Caenorhabditis elegans: one gene and its partners. The protein of the gene in region 3 purifies or fractionates together with the protein of the main gene of each other region. This does not show direct contact. Each region holds a gene or a part of one and is shown on either strand. Other genes may lie near its edges.

Evidence for each region. Proteins that work in one complex are often made in the same cells at the same time.
Region 1: the proteins of ech-5 (region 3) and txt-2 fractionate together in Caenorhabditis elegans (co-fractionation; one large-scale study listed by BioGRID). This does not show direct contact.
Region 2: the proteins of ech-5 (region 3) and T20G5.9 fractionate together in Caenorhabditis elegans (co-fractionation; one large-scale study listed by BioGRID). This does not show direct contact.

The regions. Positions count from the first base shown.
Region 1 is NC_003283.11:238,402-242,841, forward strand, and holds txt-2 (non-specific serine/threonine protein kinase), read right to left. Parts: upstream 2,100-4,440; 5' UTR 2,025-2,099; intron 1,961-2,024; 5' UTR 1,956-1,960; coding exon 1,478-1,955; intron 1,301-1,477; coding exon 1,087-1,300; intron 904-1,086; coding exon 700-903; intron 653-699; coding exon 562-652; 3' UTR 501-561; downstream 1-500. Other genes in the region: R02C2.7 (DUF4440 domain-containing protein), read right to left, coding at 3,031-3,254, 3,430-3,570, 4,147-4,165.
Region 2 is NC_003281.10:10,207,629-10,211,593, forward strand, and holds T20G5.9 (Partner of Y14 and mago), read left to right. Parts: upstream 1-2,211; 5' UTR 2,212-2,219; coding exon 2,220-2,298; intron 2,299-2,355; coding exon 2,356-2,425; intron 2,426-2,948; coding exon 2,949-3,082; intron 3,083-3,141; coding exon 3,142-3,353; 3' UTR 3,354-3,465; downstream 3,466-3,965. Other genes in the region: chc-1 (putative clathrin heavy chain 1), read left to right, coding at 1-962, 1,015-1,593, 1,642-1,778; blos-1 (Biogenesis of lysosome-related organelles complex 1 subunit 1), read right to left, coding at 3,516-3,568, 3,616-3,830.
Region 3 is NC_003282.8:793,717-802,100, forward strand, and holds ech-5 (Enoyl-CoA hydratase, mitochondrial), read left to right. Parts: upstream 1-3,306; 5' UTR 3,307-3,307; coding exon 3,308-3,428; intron 3,429-3,473; coding exon 3,474-3,541; intron 3,542-3,587; coding exon 3,588-3,758; intron 3,759-3,841; coding exon 3,842-3,938; intron 3,939-5,197; coding exon 5,198-5,604; 3' UTR 5,605-6,204; downstream 6,205-8,384. Other genes in the region: F56B3.4 (RNA polymerase II-associated protein 1 N-terminal domain-containing protein), read right to left, coding at 1-557; skr-18 (Skp1-related protein), read right to left, coding at 1,036-1,543, 1,647-1,690; F56B3.11 (Mitochondrial import inner membrane translocase subunit Tim21), read right to left, coding at 2,102-2,393, 2,450-2,743, 2,791-2,846; mrpl-46 (Large ribosomal subunit protein mL46), read left to right, coding at 7,102-7,310, 8,149-8,384.

The DNA of each region.
Region 1 (4,440 bases), on a different chromosome or scaffold from region 3:
ACAAAAGTTATAAATACTAAACGTCGCAAAAGTTTGACATCAAACTTTAAAAATTTTCCGACAAGTGGCAAAATCAAAAATTAAAAAAAAAAGGCCAAGAAGTTAAAAAAATTTGCCGAGAAATGGCAAAAGCTTGTCTAAAACTGCAAAAGTTTGCCGAAAAGCCGCAGAAGATCGCCAAGGGGTTACAAAAGTTCAACGCCTGCGAAAAATGCGACTAAAAAGTTACAAAAGTCTGACAGAAAGTTGTAAACGTCTACCAAAAAAATTTCAAAAGTTCCATGTCCGGTTGCAAAAGTTCTAGTTTGCAAAAAAAAAGAAGCCAAAATTTGAAGGAGTTACAATACAACCTGCAATTTGGCAACTGAATTGGGCAACCTGTTCACCCAACAAATAGGGTCAGGAGTAGCTGTAGCATATAACATTTCCAGGCGCATTTTATCGATTTATTTTGCACAAAATGAGCGTCGTCTAAGTATCGGGAAGAATAGGTCAAAAGATCCAACAGGGTAATGTTTTTATTGATTGAACACGCATTTATTCCTACGTATTATAAAAAAATTAAATAGAGACATTAAGATCTTTGAGTAGATTTTCAAAGTTCAAAATAGGCTTTGAAGACGTTTGTGATTCCTGACGGTACTGAGCTTGGCTGAAAATATTGCGACTTATTAATTGGATAAAATTTCACATTCTCACCTTCCGTTCTCCTTATTCTCAGCGTCCACCTCCTCACCATATATGAACCACGGATCTTCTTCAATCATACTAATAGTCGCTCTTAACTCAGCCTGGAGAAGGATTTTTCGAAGAAGGGATATCACTTGTTGGCTCATCCGGCTCCATGCTCCTTTTCTGCCATTTCTACGGAAACTGCAGTACCGGGATTGGAAAATGTCGAAGCTGAAATTTTTAAAAGCTCGAAAAATTTCTGGAAAAAAATTTAGGGCAGCTCGAATTTTTGCAAATATTTCTGGATTTTCTTTAAATTTTTGCAATTTTCAATTTTCTCTCCCCCAGCCCTGCCTAAGCCTGAGCCTAAGCCTACGCCTAAGACTGAGCCTAAGCCTAAGCCCACCAACTTACTGGTCAGCCTGCTCCCATGGCACAGCTCCAGCTATCATGGCGATGAGCACCACTCCAGCCGACCAAATATCCACTGCTGGACCGCGATAGTCTATTCCAGTTAATACTTCAGGTGCAATGTACGGTGGGGATCCACAATACGCGTTCAGCATCTGTTCTGCTCCATTGAAACGGTGCATAGTTGCGAAGCCAAAATCCGCGATTTTTAGAATGCCTGAAAATTTTCAAAGGTCTCAGCAGTAGGCAGTCTCATTGCCTACATGCCTATGTGCCTGCCTACTGCCTGCATTTTGACGTAGCAAATGCATCTTATCTGCTGACCAATCAGCGAGCACGTTCTTTGATTGCTTGGTAGGCAAGGCTGATTGATGATTGGTTAAAAAAGACTAACCTGACTTGGTAAGGAGCAAGTTCTCTGGCTTGATGTCCCGATGAGTCACACCTTCCTCATGAATAAATCTGAGCCCATCAATTAGCTGTTTGAAATATCGATGAGCTTCATCTGAGCCCAGTCCTCCGTGTTGGTTAATTTTTTCAAAAAGGTCTCCCCCATCAGCATAGCTCAAAATCAACTGATAGTTTTCTGGATTTGTACGAATTTCGAAGAGATGGATCATATTTAAATGCCGACTTTTAGAGAGACGCTTCTGTATGGAGCACTCTCTTTTGATGCTCTCCATGAAGCACTCATCTTTCCCAACTATGGAAATTTCCTTCATTGCAAACATCTTATTAGGTGTGCCGACCTTTGCGACGAGGACAACCTCCGCAAAGGATCCTTCTCCAAGGTTCTCAATGAATTCGTAGGAATCTTTTGATTTCTTCTTGGTAGATAAAAATTGTTTGCAGGTGGACATGTTGGAAGTCATTTATTCTGAAACTTGGAACATAAATAAAGAAAAACAACGAAGACGGGGGAAAACAAGTGTGACGCATACCCAATGCATAGCAGGTGCAGATTATTTATCGACTGATGTTCTTGACAGAGGTGAACATTAATATGGCGTCATATGATGGCAGGCGGTGTATCGGGAAAAGTGGGGTCAACGATGTAATGAGAATCCATAAATAGTTGTAATAGGGCTGTAGGGTTAATGTGGATACGACAAAAGTACAGTAGGATTACGGTGGATTTGATGGGAGTACTGTAAAGTTACTGTCGCTATGGTAGGAGTACTGTAGGGTTACTGTGAATATGGCAGGAGTACTGTAGGGTTATTTCTGGATTTGTAAGAAGTACTGTAGGGTTACTGCGGATTTGGTAGAAGTACTATAGGGTTACTATTTATATTGCAGGAGTACTGTAGGATTACTGTGGGTTTGATAGGAGTACTGTAGGGTTCCTGTGAAATTGATAGGATTGCTTTAGGATTACCGTGGTTATGGCAGGAGTACTGTTAAGTTACTGTCGCTATGAGAAAAGTGCTGTAGGGTTACTGTGAATTTGGTAGAAGTACTGTAGGCTTATTGTGGGTATGGCTGGATTACTGTACCGACACTGTCAGTCTGGTAGGATTACTGTAGGGTTACTGTGGGCATGACAAAAACTGTTTGGCTACTGCGAATATGGCAAGAGTTCTGTTGGGTTACTGTGGAAATGACAGAAGTACTGCAGGGTTATTATTAATACGATAGGTAGCGTTTCTGTACGGTAGCATTACTGCAAATGTGACAGTACTGTAGGGCTACTGTTGATTTGACAAGAGTACTGTAGGGTTGCTATTAATACGAAAGGTGTACTGTAACGTTACTGCAAATGTGGAAGGAGTACTGTAGGGTTGCTGTGGATATTTTACTGTAACAGCTAGGTTTAAAATAGGACTGAAGACAACAAAACCTCTCTTTAAATGAATTTATTAAAAATGGTGTAATTTTCAATCATCAAAACTTGAAAATTCTTACTTCTAAATTTAATCTAAAAATTCAGAAAAATACAAAAAAAATCTATGGAGTAACTTCGTATTCTTCATGATAAACCAAGTGCTTATCCCCGTCCTTCTTCCAGATTTGCACGAACGTTCCCTTCATAGTTCCAGCTTTTTCCGTTTCACTGGAGAAATTCCCGCTGGTAATGAGATAGTCACCAGCTCCCTCATATTTTTGATTCGAGAATGAGCCAACGGATTTTCCGGTCGCTTCAGCGAATTTGGTGAATTCTGCTTTTAAGGCTGAAATTTTGATTGATTTTTAGTACTCTGGCTGTTGTTTTGTTTTTTAAGTTTTCGCTTGATTTTACTACTTTTCCTGTTTTCAGTTCAATTCAGAAATGAGAAGCAGACGCTAAAGACACGCAGGTCTCAGAGCAGGTCGCCTTTAAGGCAGGCAGGTATGTTTGCAACCCACCATCTTTTCCATACGTCGCTCCTTTCCCGTTTTGCACTATAACTCCATTTGGATGATAAAACGAGGCCACAGTATCCCAGTCTGCATTGTTTACCGCTTTACTATAGGCTTCAAATTGCGGTTTCAAGGCGGCTTCGGCATCTGGAAATGTGCGGGCTGTGAAAAGTTATAGTCTAAATTGATAAAAATGCGAAAAATTTTGCATTCACCAAATTTCTTATGAATATTCTTCTGTTTTGTATTTGCAGAAACTTTTCAAATGGATGAAATCCTTGAGAATAAAATCCTTGAGAAAACGAAAATAAGAAATTTATCAGCAGCCGACATCAATCGAGGCCGCTAAATTATTTATGTCGCTTATCAATTTTAGTAGAAAGGTGTTAAGTGAAAGTTCTCTAGGAAATTGAAAAATTAGCTGAAACGATGAGAAGTGCCCTAAAAGTGAAAAAAAACTTTGGCGGGAGATTCAAATTTTCTGAGAAAAACATCTTGGCGGGAAATTCAGAATTTTCTAGAATAACTGAAAAGTGTTAGAACTTTCTAGAGAAATCTGAAAACTTCTAGCACGTTTTTAAAGAAAAACTGGAAACTTTTAGAACTTTCTAAACAATTTAGAAAGTCCTCGAATTTTCTAGAAAAATTGAAAACTCATAAAAATTTCTAGAAAACCTGAACACCTGGTATATAACAGTTTTCAACACTAAACGAGACTCTCACCTCCAGCAGTATAGGACATCCTTTTCGAAACCACTCCAGAAAATCAAAAGTCCAAGAGGAAGAGTTTGTGCAATCTATCCCTCCTCCATCTCTTATATACCGGCACCATTGTGTATCACAAAAAGCACAAGGTACACTAGAGTCTCGTCAAAAATTTTGTTAAAACAATAATATCTGCTTCTCCGTAAAGCACATTTTTTGAAAGACACAAAACACACATCGAGTCAGGTGGGAGTTCACAATGGGAGGAACAGTTTGAAATTGGAAATTTCAAAAACGAAATTGGCACAGTAA
Region 2 (3,965 bases), on a different chromosome or scaffold from region 3:
GAAGGAGGCTGTCGATTCGTTTATCAAGGCCGATGATCCAGGAGCGTACATGGAGGTTGTGAACAAATGTTCTCAAACGGAGCACTGGGAAGATCTTGTTCGTTACCTTCAAATGGCTCGCAAGAAGAGTCGTGAGTCATACATCGAAACGGAACTCGTTTTTGCTCTGGCCAAGACTGGTCGTCTCACTGAACTTGAAGAGTTTATCGCTGGACCAAATCACGCTCAAATCGGACAAATTGGAGATCGTTGCTTTGACAATGGAATGTTCGATTCCGCTAAGATCCTTTTCAACAATGTTTCCAACTTCGCCAAACTTTCCGTTACTCTTGTTCGTCTTGGAGAATATCAAGGAGCTGTCGATGCTGCACGCAAAGCCAACAGCACGAAGACATGGAAACAAGTGTGCTTCTCTTGTGTCGAGAATGGAGAGTTCCGGCTTGCCCAGATGTGTGGACTTCACATCGTTGTCCACGCTGATGAGCTTGAGGAATTGATCAACTTCTACCAAGATCGTGGACATTTCGAAGAGCTCATTGCTCTTCTCGAAGCTGCATTGGGTCTTGAACGGGCTCACATGGGAATGTTCACCGAACTCGCGATTTTGTACTCGAAGTATAAGCCAGAGAAGATGCGTGAGCATTTGGAATTGTTCTGGAGCCGTGTTAATATTCCAAAAGTTCTTCGTGCTGCCGAGCAGGCTCATCTTTGGTCCGAGTTGGTGTTCTTGTACGATAAATACGAAGAATATGATAACGCCGCACTGACAATGATGCAGCATCCAACTGAATCTTGGAGAGAGCAACATTTCAAGGAAGTCATCGCTAAAGTCGCTAATGTTGAGCTATACTACAAAGCAATGCAGTTCTACCTGGATTATAAGCCACTTCTCCTGAATGACCTTCTTACTGTGCTATCGCCTCGGTTGGATCATTCGCGCACAGTTTTGTTCTTCAATAAGCGTAAGTTTAAATTTCGTTTAGTTTTTAAACTTTTAATAACAATAATTTTCAGTGAAGCAAATCCCACTGGTCAAGCCTTACTTGAGACAAGTTCAAAACTTGAACAACAAGGCTATCAACGAGGCTTTGAATCAGTTGCTCATTGATGAGGAGGATCACGCCGGGCTTCGTTCTTCTATTGAGGCTCAAGACAACTTTGACAATATCACTTTGGCCCAACAACTTGAGAAGCACCCACTTGTGGAATTCAGAAGAATTTCCGCATACTTGTTCAAGGGAAACAACAGATGGAAGCAATCGATCGAGCTTTGCAAAAAAGACAAGCTGTACAAGGATGCCATGGAATACGCTGCAGAATCGAGAAACGGAGAACTCGCCGAAGAGCTCTTGTCATTCTTCCTGGATGAGAAACTTTATGATTGTTTTGCCGCCTCCCTTTACCATTGTTATGATCTCCTTCACCCCGATGTCATCATGGAGCTCGCTTGGAAGCATAAGATTATGGATTACGCCATGCCTTACATGATCCAAGTTATGAGAGATTATCAGACGAGACTTGAGAAGTTGGAGCGTTCTGAGCATGAGAGGAAAGAGGAGAAGGCTGAGCAGCAACAAAACAATGGAATGACCAGTGAGTTTTAACAAATATTTAGAATTTAAATTTATTTGATATTTTCAGTGGAACCACAACTTATGCTTACCTATGGTGCCCCTGCCCCACAAATGACTTATCCAGGAACAACTGGTGGCTATGGCGGACAGCCTGCTTACGGTCAACCTGGACAACCAGGATATAATGCCCCTGGATTTATGTAATTCGATAGTTTTATCCCCATTTTCTTACCCCCACCCCCTCACTTTCTCCCCGCATCAATAATTATATTGTAATTTATTGCTTGATGTCTATACACTTTTTTTGTTTAAATTATGATATTCTATTTCTATTTATTCCGTCCCCTATGAAATTGTGATGGTTGTATTCTAATCCGTGAACTTATCCTTAAGGTTGTTGGTCCGATGTGTCGTCTCTCTCAGTTCTGCCCGTTTTCAAAAAAAAGTTGATCACAACTCTTTTAAACCACCAGAACCATCATGAATAAATTAATTCGTTGTTACCAATCGCGTTCGAGTTTCGGATGAAATACTGGTTCAGTCCATCATCATAACATTTTAGTTTTACGATTTTAACTTTTTGTATTATTCACTAGCTGAATTTTTTAAATTGAGATCTAGAATAAGCCATTTTCAGGCCGTATAATGTCTACTAAGCCCGCCGCCGCGAAGACGAAGCCATCGTGTAGTGAAGGTGGTGATCTACGTGTTGAGACTGAAAATGGTTCGTAGATTAAAAAATTCCACCGCGAAGTTTTGTATAAATTTAATTATTTTGAAGGTGAAACATTCATCACAGCAACACAAAGAGCCGACGGAACTTGGAGAAAAGCGAGACGAGTGAAAGGAGGGTCAGTAATCTGGCGATACTGGGAATATAATACCGCTTGTCGATTTACGAAGAATTTTGTACTAGACGTGACAGAAATTTCGATTTTTCGGCTGTTTTTGCTGATTTTTAGGCGAAATTTTGAAAGAAATATCGTAGTTTTTCCGGGGAATTTCATAATTTTCTCACAAAAAGTTGTATATTTTACCGTTGTGTTGTTCGTTAAATTATTCCTAATTTAATTATTTTGAATTAAAAAGATTGTACAATTGAAGCCAAATCTGTAAAACAATGCGAAATTGCCACTTGTCCACGTGTAGTACAAGATTTCTCGTAAATCGACATGCATAAATCCGCGTCGCAACTTTCAAGATCTTTTCTCCGCTTTTTTAGTTGTATTTCATAGAAATCTTAACAAAGATCAAAAAAAATTAATTTTCGGGGAAAAAAGGACACTGTAAAAAAATTAATTTTTCTCGCGGCGAGACCCAAAATCTGTGCGCCTTTAAGTACGCCTTTCAAGTACATAAAAATACAAATTTCAGATATATTCCTCAAGATGAACAACCAAAATATCAAAATAAAATGCAGCTGGAAGCGACAAACGGCCGAAGTTCTGTTCCAGCAGGAGTGAATCCACGTGCAATGGCTTCTGGTTCATCCCGTAAGCCTGTCAGTGGTGAGTCTTAAATATAATAAATTATACATATTTGTATAATATTTTCTCCATTTTTTCAGCCATCAAAGCTAACGTATGCATCACACCACAGGATCATTTCCAAAAGAAAATCGATTTGACGAAAAAGAAGATTGAGGATATTGAAGGAATGGAATCGAGAATCGCTAGCGGGGAGCTTGTTCCTCAACCGAATCAAGTGAAGAAGATCGCACGAAAGCAGGAGTATTTGGATGAAATTGAAAAGTTGACGCTAGAAATGAAGAAGTTGTGAAGGAGATTGCAACGATTAAATATAGATTCTACCTCTCTGTTTCATTTCATGTGCGATAGTTTCAGATAATTATTTATTTTATATTTTGTATTTTATGAACGGGTTCGATACTTGTCTTTTTTCGGTTGGAATGTACAAAAATACACAGAATACACGAATTGATTAATGGCTAGCAGGGTTTGCTTGATTTGGTGGAAGTGGAGGGTTTTTGGCTTCTGAAAAAAATAAATTAATACATTTTGATAATTTCAAAAGAACAAACCATAGGCTCTGCGCAATGTTTCCGTGATAATCTTCATATCGTTCTCAATCGTTTTCGACCAATTTTCGACATCGCCAATTTCCTTGAGAGCATAATTTAGGCCTTCGGTAATGAAAAGCCATTGTTCAGTTTGTTTCGCAAGAGCTGCTGAATTGTTTTCGAATCGTTTCGCTTCAACGTCCAGGCGTTTTTGGTTTCCGTAGGCTTGAGCGACTCTGAAATTTATTTATTGACCGATTTTGCGATGTTTGCTCAAAAAAGACGGTATCAGGTCTCGAGACGACAGAAGAGTACTGTATTTTCAAACTTTGTTGCTGTGTTATTCATTTTTTAATAAATATATATACTTT
Region 3 (8,384 bases):
AGCTTCATTTCTTGAATTTTCTCAAAATCCAGAGATTTCAAATATTTCTCGTTTTCAGCTTGAAAATCGTCACTTCCCGATGGATTTTCAGTGGTTTCCTGCTTAAAATCCAGATTTTCCGCCAAATTTCCATTGATCCGGTCGAATTCCGCGGCGAAAAAGCTCTTTCCGCCTAAATTCGTCAGAGTTTTTGGATTTTCCGCCGAAAAATACGCAGAAAGATCCAGCGGCTCGGGGAATCCGTCATCTTTCGAGTATAATTGGAATTTCTGAAGATTTTCCGCCAAAATCTCCGATCTTTCCGCGAAATTTCGCTCTTTAACTGGGAAAAGCACGCCGGAAGCGGCCTGCTCCTCATCAAAATCGATTTGAAAACGGGCGGCCTGATCGCGGACGACTTTCGACGGCAATGAAGCAACTTCCTCGACTTTCTGCCGATTTTTCATCTTATGAATCTCGACACTCGGTTTTTTGTTCGCCGCCTCCCATTCTTCCTGCATTTTGAGCAGATCATCGTCGGTTTCCGTCGCCGTAGGACGTTTTACGTGTTCTGACATTTCTGAAAATCTAAATTTTATCGATTTCTTACGAAAAAATGCTGAAAAACACCCGTTTTTATCGATTTTTCCATTACAATCGGTAAAAAACCTGATATTTCAAAAGTTTGCGCGTCAAGTCTGTCGCCGGGTACGCAGACACACCATCACGTCAGATTGCACATTTTGAGAAAGAATTCTTCAAAAATGGGGAATTTTCGATTAAAAATCGCTATCATGTCTATAAAAATTGGAAGTTTTCACGATTCTAACGTAAAATTACTGGAAAATCTAAATCTCAACGATTTTTCGATAAAAAAAAATTCAAAAATAACACCGAAACACTGGATCGGACTTAGTATGAGCTGAAGAATATTTTAAAATAGAACTTTTATTGACGCAATGAAATTTTAACGATATACAGCACTAAATAGAAAAAAATCTTTTGCAATAAGACCGGCTTTATGTGAAATTGAATAAATTTGAAATGGAAAATCGATCAATCTGCCCAAGTATCAGTGGATGTAGACGGCTGCTGGCACGGCTCAGGAAGTTGGAAAATTTCTCGCATTTCCTCGGCGCTTTTCCCATTGATACGACTGGCGACTGTTTGGGTTCCATAATTCACGAGTCCGGTAATATCCAAATCATAGGCAGCTTTAATAACAGCTAGCAAGTTTCCCATCGGCAGTACACTGAAAAAATGTTGATCCCAGGACGGAATGACGACTTTCTTTTTGCCTTTTTCGGCTTTTGCAATCTCTGGATCGTCTCCCTTGTGTTGATCACACCATTTAATCAGTAGATCCAATGTGTATTCATGTTCATCAACAGGTATCGGCTTAATCTCCGCACAGTCTTCTTTATCATATCCTAGCTCTTTGATAGTTGTAGAAATAGTGCTGGAGAGCTGGAGAGCACGGATATCTGCCTGCAGCACCTCTCCATTGGAAGAAGCCAGTTGAAGTAGGCGAGGTGGTGCGCTTGGAGGAGCCGGCTTTGGAGCACTAAAAAAAGCGCGATTTCTGATTTTTTGAGAAAAAATTGCTGAAAAATAAAAAATTTTTAATGATTTTTCAATGAAAATTGGGAAAAATGCTATCAAAATACCTGGCTGGTGCACGTTTTTTATTGTTTTTCTTGTTCTTCGGCATCTGCTTTCTGGCCCAAATTTGATGTCTGAAATACACAAAATATAGGTTTTTTTAAAGTTTTTGTGTGAAAATTCGAAAATTTTCGATTGAAAATCGATATTTCAGCAATCAAAATTGGTAAATTTCCCGAAAATTGCTTAAGAAATCCTGTTTTTATCGCTTTTTCGCTAAAAACGTTTTTAAAATCGAAAAAAAAAATATTTCGAAAGTTTGTGCGTCAAGTTTGGCGCCGGGTACGCAGACACACCATCACGTCAGATTGCACACTTTCCAGATTTTTTTTGAAAAAAAAGTAATTTTCGAATAAAAATCGATGTTTAAGCTATTTTTTTTAACAAAATAATAAATCTAGATGCAATTTATTCAACAAAAAACCCTATTTAAACATAACAATCACCAGAAAACAAGAAATTATCGATTATCAATCAAAACATGGGTAGTTTTCGGTCGCCGCTTGTTCTCCACATACAAGAACCGCCACTGCCAATCTCCGTCTCGTTGCTCCATTTCAGCTTGAGCAATTCCCTCATCTCGGTCTCCTTTCACGTGGAAAAGCACCCGAATCCGCTGCATTCCGTCCTTCTCGTACTTGTGATGTGCCACGTGGCGGCGGCGTCCACGTGACGTTTCCTCGCCGAATCCGGCGATTGAGGCGCCGAATATTTCCTGACAACGGCCATCATCACGTACCAATGCGAGAGCTCTGCAAAAAATATTTGATTTAAATTGGTTTTTCCCGGAAAAAAGTGAAAAACCAACTTATTGAAAATTGTCTGCGGGGAATCTTGAGCGAAAAATTCCCCGGCGAGCACATAGATAAATGCACCAATTAGACCGATTCCAGCGACAACTGCCGTGTACATAAACGTGTTCGACGCCTTTTCAGCGACTTTTCCGCCAAATGTCGTCGGTTTCGCCTTCTCATGCACCAAAACTTCCTCCAAAATCGATCTCTGGAGCGCATGTTCCTGTTTTGAGGGTGATTTCTGTGATTTTTCAAGTGCTGTGATCGTTCGGGAGAAGCTGCGAAATTGGGATGGTGTTAGGAAGTAGCTGGAAGATTTTTCATTATTTTTCTCTAAAAATTGCCGAAAAGTTACCTTTTCAGCACATTTTGCGTGACTGCACCTGCACAAAGTTTGCTGAGCGGTGTCATTACCTGAAAAGTCAAAAAATTTGAAAAAATTTAAAGGAAAAATTAAGAAAAACGGAAAAAAACTGATTTTGAGAAAAAAATAATTTTAAAAATAGGAAATATTCCAAAGAGACACCACAGAATGCCAGGGAAACTGAAAATTGGAGAATGCAAGTCTATAGTTTTTCCTGCAGCTTAGAAGTGAAAATAAAAGTATTTCCAAGTCGCCTATTTTTATATTAAATTTTATTTTGATAAATTGATTTAAATCCACATTTTAAACAAAATTTTACTGAAATCATCTTGGAAAATCTCGCAGATTTCTTTCTAATAAAATTTTTTGCATCGTAATGCAAACGCGCTCTATCTACACATACTCCTCTCGGACAAACATTTATTTAATGAATTTTTGCGCGTTTTTAACCATTTTTCCACTATTTCTTGTCGAATTTTCACAATTTTTTTAATGATTTTTTTGCAGAATGTTGTCTCAAAAGATTCTTCTCAACCTCCGTGCCTTCGCCTTTCACCCACTGGCCTACAGCACCACCACAAACCCGGCTAACGAGGTTTTCATCGAAAGATTGACTGGAAAAGATGAAGGTGCGCAGCCTTTTTGATAATTTTTATTAAAAATTTTGCTTCCAGGAATCACAATTCTCAACATGAACCGTCCGGCGAAGAAAAACTCCTTGGGACGAGTTTTTATGGACCAGGTAGGCAGTTTTCGCAGAGTTTTGCCGCAAAAAATTACATTTCCAGTTCCGTGAGGTGCTCGACGAGCTCAAGTACGATCCAAAGACACGTGTGGTGATTCTCAACTCGAAATGCGATAATGTGTTCTGTAGTGGTGCGGATTTGAAAGAACGCAAGACTATGAGCCAGCAGGAGGCCACCAGATTTGTCAATGGGCTCCGTGACTCGTTTACTGATGTAAATAACTTGAATTAATCGATTTTCAGTCAAAAAATCGAGAAATTTGCGGTTTTTTCCCCTGAAAACGTCGAAATTTTCAGGTAGAACGCCTTCCACAGCCAGTTATCGCCGCAATCGACGGATTTGCACTGGGAGGTGGATTGGAGTTGGCACTGGCTTGTGATATTCGTGTTGCTTGTTAGTGAAAATAATTTTCCCTGGGGAAACACTAAAAAAAAAAATTTTTGAAAACGTCAAATTTAGTTCAAAATTCGAGAAAATACGTAATTTCCTGACTTTTCCACTTGTAAAATGCCAAATTTTGTCTAAAAATTCAATTTTAATTCAAAAATTACAAGTTTTAACGTGAAACTTCTATTTTCGGCAAAAATGCTCTTAAAAGCTTCTTAAAAGATCCTTTTCAGCAGAAAATGCTCAACAACTCAGCAAAAATCTCAAAATTTCCACCAATTTGGGTCAAAGAACCTCATTTTTGCTCTAATTTTCCCATTTTTTCTGCTGGAAAATCCAATTTTCAACCAAAAAATGCCGAAAAACTTAATTTTCATGTAGAAAAAGCGTAAAACTTTTCAGCTCGAAACTTTTTTTTTCAGTTTTGCATTAATTTCCCCATTTTTTCAGCGCAAAAGACAAAAAAAAAAGAATTTTATTCCGAAAATTCCCAATTTTTAGCCTAAAAATCTGAAAAATTTGAACCATTTTGACTCCATTTTCAGCAAAAAAAAAGCATAAGAATCTAAAACTTTCAATTATTTTTAAGTAAAAAACTCTTTTTTCTCTCATTTCTCAATTTTTGCGCAAAAATGCCTAAAAACCTGCATTTTTTGCGCAAAATGCTCTAATTTTCATGTAAAAAACGTAAAAATTAGGATTTTTCAGCTCAAAACTTATTTTTCTTCGATTTTGCATTAATTTTCCCATTTTTTCAGCACAAAAAGCCAAAATAAGTCTATATTGAGTGAAAAACTCATTTTTGCCCTAATTTTCATGTTAAAAAACGTAAAAATTCGAATTTTTTAGTTTTAGCTTTTCATAGAAATTTACCTTTTTTCCCAAAAACTACGAAAATTTCGGTTTTTCATCACAAAAATCGTGAAAATTGCCATTTTTTGACTTAAAAATCCAATTTTTAAGTAAAAAATACTTGAAAATCTCCATTTTGAGTCAAAAAACCAAAGTTTTGCTCCAATTTTCCCATTTTTTCCAGCTCAAAAAGCCAAAATGGGTCTATTTTGAGTAAAAAACTCATTTTCGTTTCATAGAAAATTGCATTTTTTCAACACAAAAAATACGAAAATTTTAATTTTTCAGCTCAAAAATCGTGAAATTTTCCATTTTTTGACTTAGAAATCCTTTTTTTCAGGCAAAAATTTCAAAAAATCTTCATGTTGAGTAAAAAAACCTAAGTTTTGCTCTAAATTTATCCATTTTTTCAGCTCAAAAAGCCAAAATGGGCCTAGTCGAAACAAAATGGGCTCTAATTCCCGGCGCCGGAGGTTCTCAACGTCTCTACCGTATTGTCGGAGTCGCAAAAGCCAAAGAGCTCATCTACACAGCTGAAGTGCTCAACGGAGCCGATGCTGCCAAGCTTGGAGTCGTTAATCACGTCGTTGAAGCCAATCCAATCGAAAAATCACTGGAAATCGCACGAAAAATCATTCCAAGAGGCCCGATTGCTGTGAAATTGGCCAAATTGGCAATTAATTTGGGCTCTCAGACTGATATTACCAGTGCTTTGAGTGTTGAGCAACAATGTTATGCACAAATTGTACATTCAAAAGATCGATTAGAGGGAATGGCGGCTTTTGCTGAGAAGAGAGATCCTATTTATAAGGGCGAATAAATTTTGGGAGAAAAGGGAGAAATTCGGCGGGACATTGAGTGAAAAATCGCGAAAATTCGACGAAAAACGAGTGAAAATTGAATTTTCTTGGATTTTTGGATTTCTGGCAATTTCGGCCCGAAATTCAGAAAAAAAAATTAGTGAAAAATCGTAATTCTCGAAAAACTTGAATTTTTCACAAATTTTCTGCGATTTTTGATTTAAAAATCGACTTTTCAGAAATATTTTGAACACATTTTGATGAAAATTTGTGAAAAAAAAATTCAAAAACTGTGTGAAACTTGATTTTTCAAGAGATTTCGGAGTTTTTAACGATTTTTAAGCGCATTTTTGCGCAAAAATGCTGAATTTTACAAAAAAAAAACGTGATTTTTTGATGCAAAAATGTCAAAAATTGCACAATTTTTTAAAAATTTTTGCAGAAATTTTCAACTTTTCATCGATTTTCCCGATTTTTCTCTCAATTTCTCCCATTTTTCCTATACTTTCTCGAATAATTGTATTTCTAGATGTGTCGCTATTATTTATTTTAATTTCAGGATTTTTTGAGCTTTTTCAATGTGTAATTTTACACCGGTTTTTAATAAAGTTTTTATCGCATTTTTCCCAAATTTTTGTGTGTTTTTTTTTCGGTTTTTGCCGAATTTTTTACCTTTTAATGCTTATTTTCAGATCCAGCTCAACGAGAGCTTCAATTTGACTATAATCATGACCTATTTTGCTAAAATTTGAACGAAACGTTGGGTCCCGCCACGAAAACTACAGTAATCCCGAGGGGTTTCGTGGCGAGACCCAATTTTTTTGTAATTTCCAGCAAAGTAGGCCATGATTATACTTATTTTAAAGCTCTCAGTGAGCTGGAGCTGGAAAAAGCTGAAAATAACTCAAATTTTGAATTTTATTTCCAAAAAAAAAAGTATTTCCATAAATAACAGTATTTTTTTGGGAAATTCAATATTTTTTTGTTATTTTCAGCTTTTTTTCAGCTCCGGCTCCCTGAGAGCTTTGATTTAAGTATAATCATGGCCTACTTTGCTGGAATTTGAACAAAATCAGGTCCCTCCACGAAAACTACAGTAACCCGGTGGTTTTCGTGACGAGACCCAACTCAGAGCAAAGTGGGTCTTGATTATACTTATTTTAAAGCTCTCGCTGAGCTGAAACCGATTTTCAGCCAAATTTTACGAAAAAAAAATCGAAAATCTAAGAAGTTCTAGTAAATTTGGCATTTTTCCAGTTGAAAATTGAATGAACAATGCATTTTTCCAATTTTTTGAGAATTCACTCATGAAATTTAAAATCTGCTTGCCGAGAGCTTCAATATAAGTATAATCATGACCTAGTTGGTTCAATTTCGAAGAAAATGGGTCTCGCCACGAAAATTACAGCAGTTTTCGTGGCGAGACCCAACTTTTTTCAATTTCGAACAAACTAGGTCGTGATTATACTCATTATGAAGCTCTCGATGAGCCAAATCCAACAAAGCCCAAGTTTCAGATGCATCTATCTGTTCTCCGTCGACTTTCAGCGGCGTCGGCTTCACCTCAAAAATGGGAAATTTTCGCGTCAGTTGTGTTGTCGAGAGCTCCTGTCGTAGCTCCACCAATGTCGGAAGTCGAATCAAGATTTCATCGACTTCAAATGGCTGAAGAGCAAGAAAAGAGCCTAATGTGTAATTATGAGCTCAAAACGAAACAGGATGAGAAGTATGGAGCAGGATTATTTGGAAATTTTGAGCAAAAAAATCTCGATTTTTCTGCGAATTTCAGATTTTTTTCGATTAAAAAAATAAAAAATTTGATATTTTTTCTTTAAAAAATAAGCGAAAAATGTGAAAGCACCTTTTTTTGAGCAATTTTCGTTTAAAAAACGCGAAAATTAGCAATTTTTTGCTGAAAATTCTGAAAATTTCCATAAAAGTCACATTTTCTGGACTTTTCTGTAAAATTTGGGTGAAAATTGCCATTTTCGACGCAAAATCAATCGTAAAACGCGAAAAAATCAAATTTCCCGCGCCGTGATTTTGAGTTTCAAACGACACTCCGGTATTCCGCGGCGTGTTGTTTATCGCTGAGGAGATCTTGCGGGAATTTGAATTTTTTGTCGAATTTTAACTAAAAATGTGTGACTTTTATTGGTAATTTCTATTTTTTTCCGGTAAAATCTCAAAATTTTAGAATTTTTCATCAAAATATTGAAAAAAAATTGATTTTTTTTTGTTGAAAATTCAAATTCCCGCCAAAATGTTGTTGTTTAGCGTGAAATTCAAGTTTTCAATTCGAAAAAAAATGATAAAAATTACGAAAAATGAATATTTTTCCAAAAAATTTAAAAATTTTGACAAAAAAAAATTTTAAGCTCAAAAATCCACATTTTTCTCAGCAAAATGCCTTTTTATACAAAAACGTTGAAAATTTAATTTTTTTTGTGAAAAACCGGTTTTTTTGACTGTAAAAACCTCAAAAAACCGGATTTTCAGTCAATTTTCAGCTTAAAAACCTCAAATTTTCACCCAAAATCGCAAAAAAACTCCCTAATTTCCAGAATGGTAGCCCGCCGTGCTCAACTAATTGCCGACGGAAAAGAGCTCTCGGAGCTCGACGAAGAAATTGGAGTTACAAATGCCGTTCGTGAGGACGATTGGAAAAAAGCCGCTGAGGATTTGGATAAGAAATTCAAATTCGGCGAATTCCCGCCGAAAAATGAGCTGAAAAGTGTGGAACGCGAGTTGCAGAGGAAGCTTGTGCTCATTGTAAAGCAGAAATTGGGAGAAAAGGGTT